Schizosaccharomyces pombe: one gene and its partner. The main gene of each other region encodes a partner of the protein of the gene in region 2 in a complex. Each region holds a gene or a part of one and is shown on either strand. Other genes may lie near its edges.

Region 1 (9,886 bases), 790 kb from region 2:
AAATTTTGGGGTTTCATAATTTAAACTTAAAAAATGCAGGGAAAGATATTCATACTACCCAAAGATTCTACAAATCAACAATTTGTTGAACTCTCACATCCCTTGACCGGGAGACCACTTCGTTATTTATTAACAAACGATCACCTTTTACAAATCCTTCAAGTTGGGGATTCTTCAAAACAAAGGTCTTGGTTTGTAGGGGATCATGTAGTATCGGACGGATATCTCTATGTTTGCACCCCGATAGACTTACTCGCGCTTGTGCTTCCAATCATTCAGGAACTTACTTGGAGTCGCCGGAAAGAACCGAATCGATATGTCTCGTTTGAAGACTTCATTGAACACTTTGATAATATGGGTCCTCATTATCCACGAGTGTCAGAAGTCCTCTCTCCGAATTTGTTGAACACATTACATCGGATTTGTAAAGTAAACGAGCCAGTAGGATCTTTGCCCAAGACCTTTCAACTGGATGAATCTTCTGTTGTTAAAATTTTACTAAGGAAAGCCAAGGTTGCTCAAGAAAATCTTCCCCCTAGTATTGTAACCGAACTTAAAAAACAGTTAGCGCCTTTGGACCTCCGCACGCCGCTTCCACAAGATTTACTAGAATTGTCATGCAAGTGGCATGCCGCTTCATTGGTTTGTGAAGATCTTCAACCTGAATGGTATAACAAATTAGCCTACTGGCAGGAAGAATTGGCCCCACTGCACGCTTACACTAAAAACTTAGAAGAATCAAGAAAGATTTTGGTAGAAAAGGAAGCTTTGTTAAATTCTAAAAAACGTCCACAAAACAGTGATATTACATCAAGTCTTTTAAAAAAGCCCAATCGGAAGCAGGCCACCAAGAAGTCCAAATACTTCTCAGGAGAAGGAATGACGAAAATATCTTCATTCTTTACAAAAAAGTAAGATCACCGAGGTATGATTTTGCTTTTATTTTTTTCTTAGCATAGTACCCTTAATTTTTTTGGCATGTTTACAAGATATTGTCAATTGCTGTAAAAGTGGAATTCTTCTTTCTTGAGCAATGTTTCAAGAAAGCCAATAAGAGCGGTAATGTTGAAGTTCACCAATACTTTCAAGAATATCCGACAATGCGCGATGATCACCCTTTTTATCATAAGCAGGAATATCCGGGCACCAGCGTTTGGCTAATTCCTTAATAGTAGAAACATCGATAATTCTGTAATGCAAATGTTCGATTATCTTTGGCATCTCGACAGATAAAAACCTTACGTCTGCATGGACACTGTTTCCAGCGATTAACGCTTCTCGTTTTTTTGGAATGTATTTTTTAATGTATGCTAACAACTGGTTTTCAACGTCTTTCACTGTTAAATTACTCTGTCTACATCTTTCCGTAAGACCACTTTTCCCATGTTGCTGTTTATTAGTATAATTAGAAAATTGACATCCGTGAATGAACTAAAAGCAAGAAAAGATACCTCAATACACCAGTCATTCATTTCACTCAATTGCTTTTCGTCGAGTTTAATAACAGCATCAAATTTCTACGCCTTAGTTAGTATGACAGCCTTAATAAACGCTCAACTTCGAAACCATGCATTTGTTTCTCTTGAAACATCTCAAGTTAAAAGCCGATGTTTCAATGTTCACAATTAAAAGTTACCTCTTCAACGGGGCGAAGATTTCCATCAGTAATGATTGCCGCGACCTCCATCAATACATGCTTTCCCACCTCTAACCCGGTCATCTCTTCAATCATATTAGTACAAGTTACCTATAAAACCATCGTAATGCATTTTAAAAGCTAAGATTATACTAAAGCTCACTAACCGCAATCAATCCAAACAAGGGGCTGCTTTAAATTCGACATTTTGAGGTTGGAGAATGGACTTTTCAATTTTGAGATGAAATCTTTATATTAGTAAAAGTTTAAAAACTGAGGTACACATCGACAAAAAGAAACTTAAACATGTAAATTGTAGAAATGATAACTTGATAGACTGAATCTAAACATACTCGTATTCGTTGATAAGTCTTGCTGGAAAATGGGTTTGGAAATTTGACAAATATTTTTGCGATATGTTGGCTGCAAGAAGCGCGAATGCAACGAGCTAGTGCGTTTGCTATACAAGCGTTTTTTAATGTGATATGACTGCAAAATGATTCTATTATTTAAGAATGCACCTTGCATATGAAAATACGGTATTATTACTTAATGAAAGTACTTCGTTGTAAGTTGGATTTTAATATCCGGGATTTTTTAAAATTAAAAACTTAGCTATCGATTGATTTTTGCAATGAAAACTAGTAATAGTATGTTTATTTAAACGTTTTGAAACAGTGTTTGTATTCCAAAGACAGCATTACCTAACCCCTTAATCAGGCAGGAATAGAGGGAAGTGATGCACATGACACTTCCGTAACTAAAGCACCACTAAAAACATCCGTTCCAACACCATCCACCTCTTTTCTCAATAACGGCTTGAATAGTTGTAATTTCAAGGTTTGTATAGGAGATCTTTGTGATTCAATCTAATTCATAAAAGTATTTAAACAGGAATCGCTTACAACCTAGTTTTTTGCATTCGATAGCGGAAAACGGAGACATCATATTTGACAAATCTCCAGCACAAATCGTTCAAAGATAATGAGTGGACAAAACAATGTAGTCGGTGTCCACTACAAAGTTGGAAGAAGAATTGGCGAAGGCTCGTTTGGTGTTATTTTTGAAGGGACGAATTTGTTGAATAATCAACAAGTAGCCATTAAATTTGTAAGTGAGAATCCATTTGATGCCATGCTTTGAAGCTGGATATTTTTCTTGTTTCCTTCATTACTGATTGATTTTGCTTATAGGAACCAAGACGCAGTGATGCTCCTCAATTACGTGATGAATACCGTACTTACAAGTTGCTGGCAGGATGTACGGGTATTCCGAATGTTTATTATTTTGGCCAAGAAGGGTTACATAACATTTTGGTGATTGACCTTCTTGGGCCAAGTTTAGAAGATTTGCTCGATCTCTGCGGCCGTAAATTTAGTGTAAAAACAGTTGCTATGGCCGCAAAACAGATGTTGGCAAGAGTGCAATCTATCCATGAGAAGAGTCTCGTTTATCGAGACATTAAGCCTGATAATTTTTTGATCGGTCGACCAAACAGTAAAAATGCTAATATGATCTACGTAGTAGACTTTGGCATGGTAAAATTTTATCGTGATCCAGTTACCAAACAGCACATACCTTACCGGGAGAAAAAGAACCTCTCGGGTACTGCTCGTTACATGTCTATTAATACTCATTTGGGTCGGGAGCAATCCCGTCGAGACGATTTGGAAGCCTTGGGTCATGTATTCATGTATTTTCTTAGAGGTAGCCTACCTTGGCAAGGATTGAAGGCTGCCACCAATAAGCAAAAATATGAACGAATTGGTGAGAAAAAGCAAAGTACCCCGTTACGCGAGTTGTGTGCTGGTTTCCCGGAAGAATTCTACAAGTATATGCATTATGCTCGTAATTTGGCATTCGATGCTACTCCAGATTATGATTATTTGCAAGGCCTATTTTCGAAAGTCCTAGAGCGATTAAATACTACTGAGGATGAAAATTTTGACTGGAATCTATTGAATAACGGTAAAGGTTGGCAAAGCTTGAAGTCGCGAAACGCAGAGACAGAAAATCAACGTTCAAGCAAACCACCAGCACCCAAATTGGAATCAAAGTCACCAGCCCTGCAAAATCATGCAAGTACTCAGAACGTAGTTTCCAAACGCTCTGATTATGAAAAGCCTTTTGCCGAGCCGCATCTGAATTCTGCAAGCGATTCTGCTGAACCCAATCAAAATTCTTTACCTAATCCGCCAACGGAGACGAAAGCTACCACAACTGTGCCTGATCGTTCCGGTTTAGCAACTAATCAACCAGCACCCGTTGATGTTCATGATTCTTCTGAAGAACGGGTTACCCGAGAGCAAGTACAAAATGCTACGAAAGAAACAGAAGCACCTAAAAAGAAAAAATCATTTTGGGCCAGTATTCTTTCTTGTTGTTCTGGCTCCAATGAAGACACATGAATAATATGTTCTACTAGTATTTAGGAATTTCTTGATTATTTTGTTCTTCAGACTGGTATGGATAATCAGGCTTTCAGTTGACAAAAGTGTTTTTGTGATTTATTTTTTGTGCCGTAACGATTTTCTGTGCTTCATTCATTTAATTATACACTTTCTTTTCATTTTATTTCTTTGTCCAAATCCTTCTTCTTAGAATTGCTAGCAGGGTTAACTTTTGCATTTTTTCTTCCTTCCCGGTAATCTATCCTTTTTTATAAATCTGTAAAATGTACGTTTGAAATAATTACTTTTCTTTAGGCTTCTTCGCGTATTGTCAAACTGGAGGTTACTTATTGTGATTAAAGCAATGATATCTTATATTTGCACAGGTTCTTTGCTTTTATGTTTTTTTCCGTTTATAATCTTTGTCTCGTTCAACATTTTGTCTTTTGATCACTTCCGATGATATTATGCGTTCCTTGAGCATAAAGGTCGTTGAATACTGCTTGTCAGTCTATTTTTAGTTATTTGGACTCTCGTACATATGTGTAGAGGTTTGAACACCCACATCTATCTATCTATATTATATATATTATGTGTATATGTATTTACGTGTACATAGATATTATATTATTATTTATCATCCTTACTCTGCCTCAAATGACTAAAGGCATACTTACCCTCTGAAATAATGAGTAGTTGGTTTTTGGAACTAAAAAATTTAGTAATAAAATTAGCATGTAAAAATATTTCGAAATATTGCTACCAACAATTCCACCCGATATTCGTTGAAACAAATATAAAATTATCAACTATTTGGACTATTTAAATAACCTATGTGGATCCTTGAAATGGATTAATTGTATTAATAAAAATATTTTCATATAGTAACTTTTATGACATTTCTAAACAATGTTAAATTAAATTTATGGTTTCGATAACCACGGCGATGAGTATACCGAGGCGTTGCAAACTTGTCCTGGATTTCTTCAAGAAAATCTTTCTACATAATACCATTCCCTTGTTAAAGTGAGCTAAACTCCAACTCGCTTCCTAAACATAGTTAATGCATTTCAATCTTTTTCATTTTATATTAGGATTTTTAGTTTGCATTCAAGCAGTTGTATCTGCTGCTGACTACTATCAAGTAAGTGCATGTGATCGTAGGATTGAGAAGAAAATTAAAGAAAAATGTTCACTAACAACTTCTCTCAAAAACAGATCCTTGGAGTCAGTAAAGATGCATCTGAATCTGAGATTCGCAAAGCATATAGACAATTGACGAAACAATGGCACCCTGACAAAAATCCGTAAGTTAAACAAGCATGCAAACAAATGAAAGCCTAAAGCTAATAAATGTTCTAGAGGTAATGAAGAAGCACAGGAGAAGTTTATTGAAATTAACAAGGCCCATGAAGTCCTTTCTGATCCTGAGCAACGTAAGATTTATGATGCTTATGGAGAAGAAGGATTAAACGGTCAACCTGGTGGTCCTGGTGGTGGTCCAGGTGAAGGATTCCCAGGTGGAGGTTTCGGATTTGATCCATTTGGTGATATATTCGATAACATATTTGGCGGACGTAGACGTCAAAATGCCGTTCGCAGAGGACCTAGCATGGAGCAAATAGTTCAAATTCATCTTTCATCTTTTTACACCGGAGGCAGTTTTACCTTGGAAATTCCGGTGAAGAGAACTTGCAGTGTTTGTAGTGGTCAGGGCTTTAATCCTAAATACTCCGCTGATAAAGCTATCGAAAGTTGCCCTGTTTGCGGTGGTTCAGGGTTCAGAGTCATTGAACACATGATCGCTCCAGGTTTTCGTCAGCAAATGCGTATGCCATGTAACGCTTGTAATGGAAATGGACGTACGATCAAGCATAAATGCCCTCGCTGCAAAGGTGAGCGTGTTGCTGAAGTTGTTGAAAGCTTTGACATTAAAGTACCAGCTGGTGCTCCTGAAGGTTACCGTATCGGTTTTCGTGGTAAAGCTGATGAAATTCCTGGTATGGAAGCTGGAGATATCATCGTTATCCTTGAGGCTGCTGGTGGTGATTATGGATGGACTAGAAAAGATAATGATCTATATAGAAAGGAAACTATTTCGGTTAGGGAAGCTTTACTCGGAAATTGGAAACGTAAAATACAAAAACTGGATGGATCCTTTATGGAGGTTAAGCGGTCAGCTGGCGAAGTTGTGCATCCTGGGGAAACGGAGAGAGTGAAAAATCAAGGAATGCCAATTTACAACCTTCATAAAGGAAAAACCACTTCTGCACATGGAAGTGCTTATATAGAGTGGGAGGTCAAATTTCCTAAAAAGTTGAAAGGAAAGTTTTTGAAAGGTATGTTACATCTCGCAGACTATATAAGTTTTGTTAAACTAACCAATGTATTCAGACCTCAATAACTTATTTGAAAAGTATGATAACGAATTTGATGAGCTTTAAAACGGAGTTTTTTGAAGCCGCTGCTACGTTTTTAATTTAACTAGCTTATTTACCAAAATCCTTTGCATTTACTGTTGACTATCTTATATACATAAATACGCCATTCTTTTATTTTTCCTTTTACTGTTTATGGCTACCTAGTAATTCTTCATACACAGTACTTAATTTCATATATTTGTTTTATTCTTCAAATTTTAGAATAGACATCACTTCATTCATACTTATCTTGTTTGGCTTTCGTTGAATCAAAGATATCAATGTTTTCAAAAAAACGTATCTCATCAGAGTCCTGTAGAAAGGGAGCTGTCCAAATGCGGTTTTCCAAATCAGATCTTGTAAAAAATTGCTTCGGCCAATCTGTTTCCTCTTCAGCTAGAAGTAAAGTGCCGTCTTGTTTTGGAAACTTAGTTACATCCCTGCTTAATGCAACGTTTACGGCAATTGCGCCTAATTCATCAGCTAGCTCTCTTCTTTTAAAAAATCTTGAAAGTCGCTTAGGAGTGTTAGAAAACCCTAAAAGATTTGGTAAGGGAAAAATAGCAATAGTATCCAAAAATTTTGGTGGAACTTGACCAGTCAACGGACTTGCTTCTATCAGAGAAGAGTCTACTTCGTTTTTGCTAATTTTTTTATCGTTCTTTGTATCATTACTATCCTCTTTGTCATCTTTGTCATCTTTTCCTTCTTTCTCTTCTTTCTCCTCTTTATTATTGGCTTCCAATTTTTCTGTTTCAAGTTTTCTTTTCATAATATCGTCGGAAAATCCATATCGAACGCCGTACAGGAACTCTTTGAGGGCATGCCTTCCTAATAAAACAATAGCAGGAGGATCAACACTTGGTTTTAAAACTGATAAGAGGTTTTTTTCCGGTTCAGAAACTTCAGAAATGTTATGCCTCTTGTTGTAAACCGTCCTCGCTACTTGTTCCAATAAATTCCCTTCACCTTTGGACTCCACGGTTTCAAATTCAATGGCTGCAGCATTAAATATAGGTCTAATGTATTCTTCAAATTCTTCCCGTGCAACGTATATTCCATCCCCTGGAGGTCCATGAAGATATACCTTCAATTTTCTCGGTAACTCAAGAGGTGCCATCGGTTGATCAGCCAAATGGCGTACTTGAGAGCAATACTTTTCAATTATTAAATTTTTCTGACGCCGATCATAATAAATTGCTCCAGATATGCCTGCCACGAATCCCAAAAATATGGACATATTTCGACCAGGCATATAAGACTTTATTGTTTTTAACATTGTGAAAAACAAACCAAAAAACGTATCTATCGGTTTCTCCCTCTTTTTAAAGTTCACAACATGAAATATGCGAACTCACACAAATGAAATACACACGTTTATTTGCGAATCAATATATGGATTTTCAAAAAGGAAAACTTCTAAAAGTCAAAATGAAAATTAAGAAGGTTGTAATAGTGAATATTTGATTTTTGAAAGAAGTTTTCCACCAACTTCCAAAATCCAAGTAGTTAAGTAAATTGGGGTATGCAAAAGTTCTACCTTGTGTATATGAGATACAACCTCTCGAGGCAACCTTATCCCATTAAGCAAAAATAAAGGCCTAAGAGGAAATCTAATTTTTTTATTTTATTTTTATTATTTGAAAAGATAAAAATGGAACAGGGATATTGAGAATTCTGTTTGAGGACATTTTTGTACGATAGTACTAAGTTCTCATTGGAACAATAAATTTTAAGGATACGATAAATTAAATAAGTAGAGACCAAATAAACATCCTCCATTATTGGTTTCAAGATGCTTTCTATAAAGAAATCAAACAACTTAACCATGCTATCTACTAAAGCTTTGGAAGGATCAATTGGATAAATATATTGAATTTAGTTTACTTCAATTAATCGACATGCTAAGACATACATGTTTTTTGGGTTGAGAATCCGATTGACGTTTCTTAGTTTGTTATGATAACTACAAGAAAACAGTGGATTTTGCTTGCAACTCTTTTTTCTTTTGCTCTTCTGCAATAGAGGAAAGTAGCTGGGCCTTGTAAGATTCAGCTTCAGGGATTGAAAGCACTGCTTGAACGTTTTTCACTTGCAAGATATTCTGCTGACTTGGATCTCCAGAATCTTGGCTATGATCCGAGAATTCCACTGAGGAAGACGATTTTCTAGTAAATTCACAATCTGAACCTACATGTTCAGTAGTTTCACTAGTTACTGGTGCAAGAAGCCGAGCCATGGACTCTACGCATTGATGCATAATTTGTGTTGCATATTTTTGACTGTAAGCAGCTGGGTTATCCCCTGGGTAAGCCACTTCATCATTAATCAATTCAGCAAGTTGGCTTGCATAATAACTCAAAGTCATTTGCTTTTGTGCTCTTAACTGGAAAGCATCCATCAATCCTTGAAATGATGACTTGAATACTTCTCGAGAAGTATTATCAAGCTGCATCTCTCCTACTAAATTTTCTGCTTCCGTTCTTACTAATTGATTTTGTAAATCTGTAAGTTTAGGAGAAAGAGGATCTCGTTCCTCCTCACGTTCAATGCTTGAGATTAATCGTTGTCGATGTGCTCGTGAGGGTGCGATGCTATCTTCCATAGCTCTAATGGCTTTGAACTTAATTCTGTTTTCATTGAATGCTTTAACAAACTCGATTTCTGTTTCTCCCAGTTCACTAACAAGAACTCCAATTTTATCGCTAATATCATTCAAACTCAGATTACTGGATTTTGCTCCCCAGTCACTCAGATGATTACCAAGGTTCATTAATCCTTTTCCAGCTTGCTTGTAAGCTTCACCTGAACTTTTACCGGATCTAATGATGCGGTGACTTTTCCTTGAGTCATCTGCATGAGATAGTTCTTTTAACTTGCTGATCGAAAATTCTATGTCATTAACTTATTTATCACACCAATTTATATCTTACTATTTTTATTTAAACCCTTCACGAGACCGTTTTCTCTTAAAGAGCCTTTTCTCTGCATTTTCAAGTTGCTTGATTTGGGCATGTTGATTGTTTACGTTTCAGAAAAATATATGCCCGCCTTAAGATTTGCCTGTAAACAGAAGCACAATTTTCAAATAAACAATATAGAAAAAAGACAAATAATAAAAATAATTCTTTAAATTCTAAAACTGCTTGTTTTTTTTTAAGTTGATTATTACGATAATTAATTTTAAGAATTTCGTAAACAAACAGCTGTTTGTAGACTTATTTAGCGATAATCAGATAATGGCTCTTTTATTATCAATATGTTTTTTTTTACTTTTAATAGAGTTTTTCGGAATGTTCTCGTTTATATTTACTCAAACTCAAAATTCCATAATTTAAACATCCTTAACTAGTATCGATCAAGGAAGCGCTATTCTCTTTTCTCTTAATGCTCATACACATACAAACAGCTCTTTCTAAAAAATTGTATATTGATTATAT
Region 2 (3,403 bases):
AAACTTTAATTTTTTATTAACCTATGTGATTAGTGCTGAAATTGAGTTTAATATCGATATGTTGATACAGTTGGACAAGTTAGTTCAATTAATAGAATCCCCGGTCTTCACATGTGGGTGCAATTGAATAATTGTTTTACATATTACTAATGACATTAGATATGCGCTTACAATTATTAGAGCCTGAAAAATACCCGTACCTTCACAAAGCCCTGTATGGGATATTGATGTTGTTACCTCAGTCTTCAGCGTTTCGGACCTTAAGAGATCGACTTCAGTGCTCTTCAACTCCAAGGACAAATACTATTTTAGCTAATGAAAGGTTACCTCGATCAAGGCGGGATGATCCATACTGGACGGACCTTCTTGAAAGGCTGAAAGCGGTACAGCTATCGCATCAAAACAATTACAGAGAACCCATCCGTGCTACTAGATTAGCTCTTGCAGGAGCATTACCATCAACCCCAACTGCCACTACAATATCTACTACAACCTCGGCGTCCGGAATTACAACTACAGCATCGAACTCTCGTGATTCCTTTATAACAAGGCTTCCACCAACTGCAGCTTTATCAACCGGTGCGAGAAAGAAGCCAAAACAGTGATGTATTTAATTAATAAGTGATATAATGATCATATGGTATAGAAAGAGGAATGTTAATAATTAAGTATTTTTGATGCAATGGAAAGGTGTCGGTAAATGAACGAGCGTAAACAAGGACAGTAAGAATATCATGCTAAAGTAAACAGTGCAGATTAGTCAGAAGAAAAAGGAATTATACTAATGGATGATAGGTTATGGAAGTCAACCCGGTTAACGCAGACAGAACGTAAGCATCTATTAAAAGAGCAACACATGAAGGTAAAAAAAAATGTCCAGTCAATTGAATAATGAAAGGTATAATTTATTCTCCCCAGTGCATATACTTTTCAATTCCATAAGAAAATAAACCAAAACCAGCGCCTCCTAGAACAATTGCCTTAGGTCCTGAACGCACAGCCAAAGCTCCACCTGTAAAAACACCGGCGGCGATGGCGTTATAAATATCAGTTTTAGCACGAAATGCCTCTATACAGCATTCTGAACCGGAATAGATTAAACCCAATAAACCAAAATTTTTGGCAGTAGAGAATGAGCGGCTACCCATATCCCTTGCTTGAATACGAATTTGTTCACGAAATGGCTTCTCATAGATCTTGGGATCAATGTGTTGCAAATCCAGAGAGGAAATGAACATACCAAATATACCACCCAAGCCAAAACCTAGTACACCGGCCATGCTACTTTTAAAGACGCAGCTTTCTGATATCCTGTTCATGTAGCCGATTATTTTTGCTTGTTGTAAAGCAGCTTTTTCTTCTGGTGTCAAATTTCCATCTGCATTGGGCGAATTTCCACCCAGATTCGGCGGCAATAATCCAGAAAGCGACATAGTTTGTTTGTTCTGCAAAGGCGCTGTGTAAAAAACCGAAAGGGTACTAAAATATAAATTTCTTTTTAAACTGTCGTTTCAAAATAACAAAAAATTATTCTACAATAATGTAACGAAAATATGCGATAACCGTGGTAATTCGAAGGAGATTAAGAGACGCGCCGAAACTATTAATTATACACTATCACTAACTCTCTTACATATAAGTAATAACTGAAGCTATGTTTTCTAATCAAACAATAAGGGTTAGTTTGCTATGCCCTACTACCGCTCCCAAAAGACAGTCACGGTAATATCAGAGTTCGACAAACATGAAAAACGAATGCGTCAACGATTGAATCACTTCCAACTACAACAATAGTCTTTTATTTTGATCCAAAATGTCTGTTGAATCACAACCTGTAGAGAAAATTTCTGAGCTTCCTGCTGGATCCACCACCGTTGTCCATGCTGAGAAGGCTCAAAAATTGATTCAAAAGTTGGGTCTTAAACGTGTTGAGGGAATCACTCGTGTCGCTATGCGTCGTCCTAAGAACATTTTGTTGATTATCAACGAGCCTATTGTTTATAAGAGTAGCAATAATGCTTACATCGTCCTTGGAAAGGTTACTGTTGAAGATATGGCTGCCCAAGCTCGTGCCTTCAACGAGTCTCAAAAGCAAGCTACTGAGACTAAGGAAGAAGCTGCTATTACCGAAGAATCCGGCGATGCTCAACCCGCCGATACTGCTAAAATAGAGGAGTCTTTTGAGCAAGAAAAAGCCGTTGATGAAACTGGTGTTGATGCTAAGGATATTGAGTTGGTTATGGCCCAAGCTAATGTTTCTCGCGCCAAGGCCGTTACTGCTTTGAAGGAAAACAACAGTGATGTTGTTAACGCCATCATGTCTCTTACCATGTAAAAGTATTAAATACAACTTTTTGCTTTTTACCCTCATGTTGTTTTTTTCGTTGTAAAAGTAATTGTATGTTTACATTTTTCCATTTCGCATAATCTTTTTGTAATAATGTGTGACTCATTAACACAGCTTTAGTCAGTCATGAATACGGCTAAAGCATGGCTCAAATAATCAAAGTCAATAATTTTTTTGTTTACTCATGATATGCGGATATTTCACACAATGGTCAACCTTTGTTTGACTGCATAATTTCAGAACTAGTCAACTTTGTCTTACTCAATGTAACTTGTCAATGGCAGCAAGTTCGTTTGCTAGCTTATTCAATTTTCGATATCAAACTGTCCGTGAATCAATCGTGACAGAAGTATTTGTTTCAGATGAACAAGGAGCACAGAGATGAATCATCTGACGATGATTAAATCTTTATTTTCAAAATATGGATTCTAGCTTCTTGATTATCATCTGCAATGTTTGCAGCTCATTAATTATGTAAAAAAAAATGTTGATGAAATTAGTTTTTGGTTTCATATAAACGGTTTTTACTATTAGGCAACAGAAGTAGTTTATTTCTAATTCTGATTTCGTTCAATCAGTTGAATGTATTCACAGGCATGCGAATAAGTGATCCATTAATGACTATTTTAAAGTTCGCAGCACTTTTAGTGATCCTCAACAATATTAAAATTCGAGCTTTACACGATTTAGTTTTTAAACACAAAAAAATTTGTAAGATACCAATGCGGAAATAATAAAGGATAAAATTTTTTGATTTTAATGATGCTTATTATTTTGCATGTAATTTTAACACAAGATTTAACTTGTATGTTTCCAATTAGTTCTAAATAGCTGTAGTATATCGCGGATGGAAACACTTGAAATATTTGGATAAACCAAGTACCCACGCATAAAATAGGACCAAGATTGTATGTATGATCAAACAAAAGTGAAAGTAATCCAAACGAGTAGATCCGAATAACTAATAAAAGGTAAAAAAAAGGATATAAGGCGTGTATGAGATAAGTAAAAAGATAAAATAAAAATAGACACAAGGAAACATCAACAAAAAGTTGA

What was found.
Region 1: tim22 (region 2) and tim54 share a complex: the UniProt entries of both Schizosaccharomyces pombe proteins name them as parts of the TIM22 complex.

What each region holds. Positions count from the first base shown.
Region 1 is NC_003423.3:4,065,869-4,075,754, reverse strand, and holds tim54 (TIM22 inner membrane protein import complex subunit Tim54), read right to left. Parts: upstream 7,967-9,886; 5' UTR 7,726-7,966; coding exon 6,682-7,725; 3' UTR 6,588-6,681; downstream 1-6,587. Other genes in the region: rnh202 (ribonuclease H2 complex subunit), read left to right, coding at 34-915; rex2 (RNA exonuclease), read right to left, coding at 1,039-1,389, 1,452-1,517, 1,637-1,722, 1,804-1,884, 1,990-2,164; serine/threonine protein kinase (CK1 family) Cki1, read left to right, coding at 2,621-2,746, 2,830-4,044; DNAJ domain-containing protein Scj1, read left to right, coding at 5,090-5,170, 5,245-5,333, 5,389-6,365, 6,421-6,470; sporulation specific PIL domain protein Meu14, read right to left, coding at 8,413-9,338, 9,380-9,461. UniProt on the Schizosaccharomyces pombe protein: Essential component of the TIM22 complex, a complex that mediates the import and insertion of multi-pass transmembrane proteins into the mitochondrial inner membrane.
Region 2 is NC_003423.3:3,273,889-3,277,291, reverse strand, and holds tim22 (TIM22 inner membrane protein import complex subunit Tim22), read right to left. Parts: upstream 1,664-3,403; 5' UTR 1,434-1,663; coding exon 906-1,433; 3' UTR 606-905; downstream 1-605. Other genes in the region: vac14 (phosphatidylinositol synthesis protein), read left to right, coding at 34-113, 160-605; nascent polypeptide-associated complex alpha subunit Egd2, read left to right, coding at 1,814-2,335. UniProt on the Schizosaccharomyces pombe protein: Essential core component of the TIM22 complex, a complex that mediates the import and insertion of multi-pass transmembrane proteins into the mitochondrial inner membrane. In the TIM22 complex, it constitutes the voltage-activated and signal-gated channel.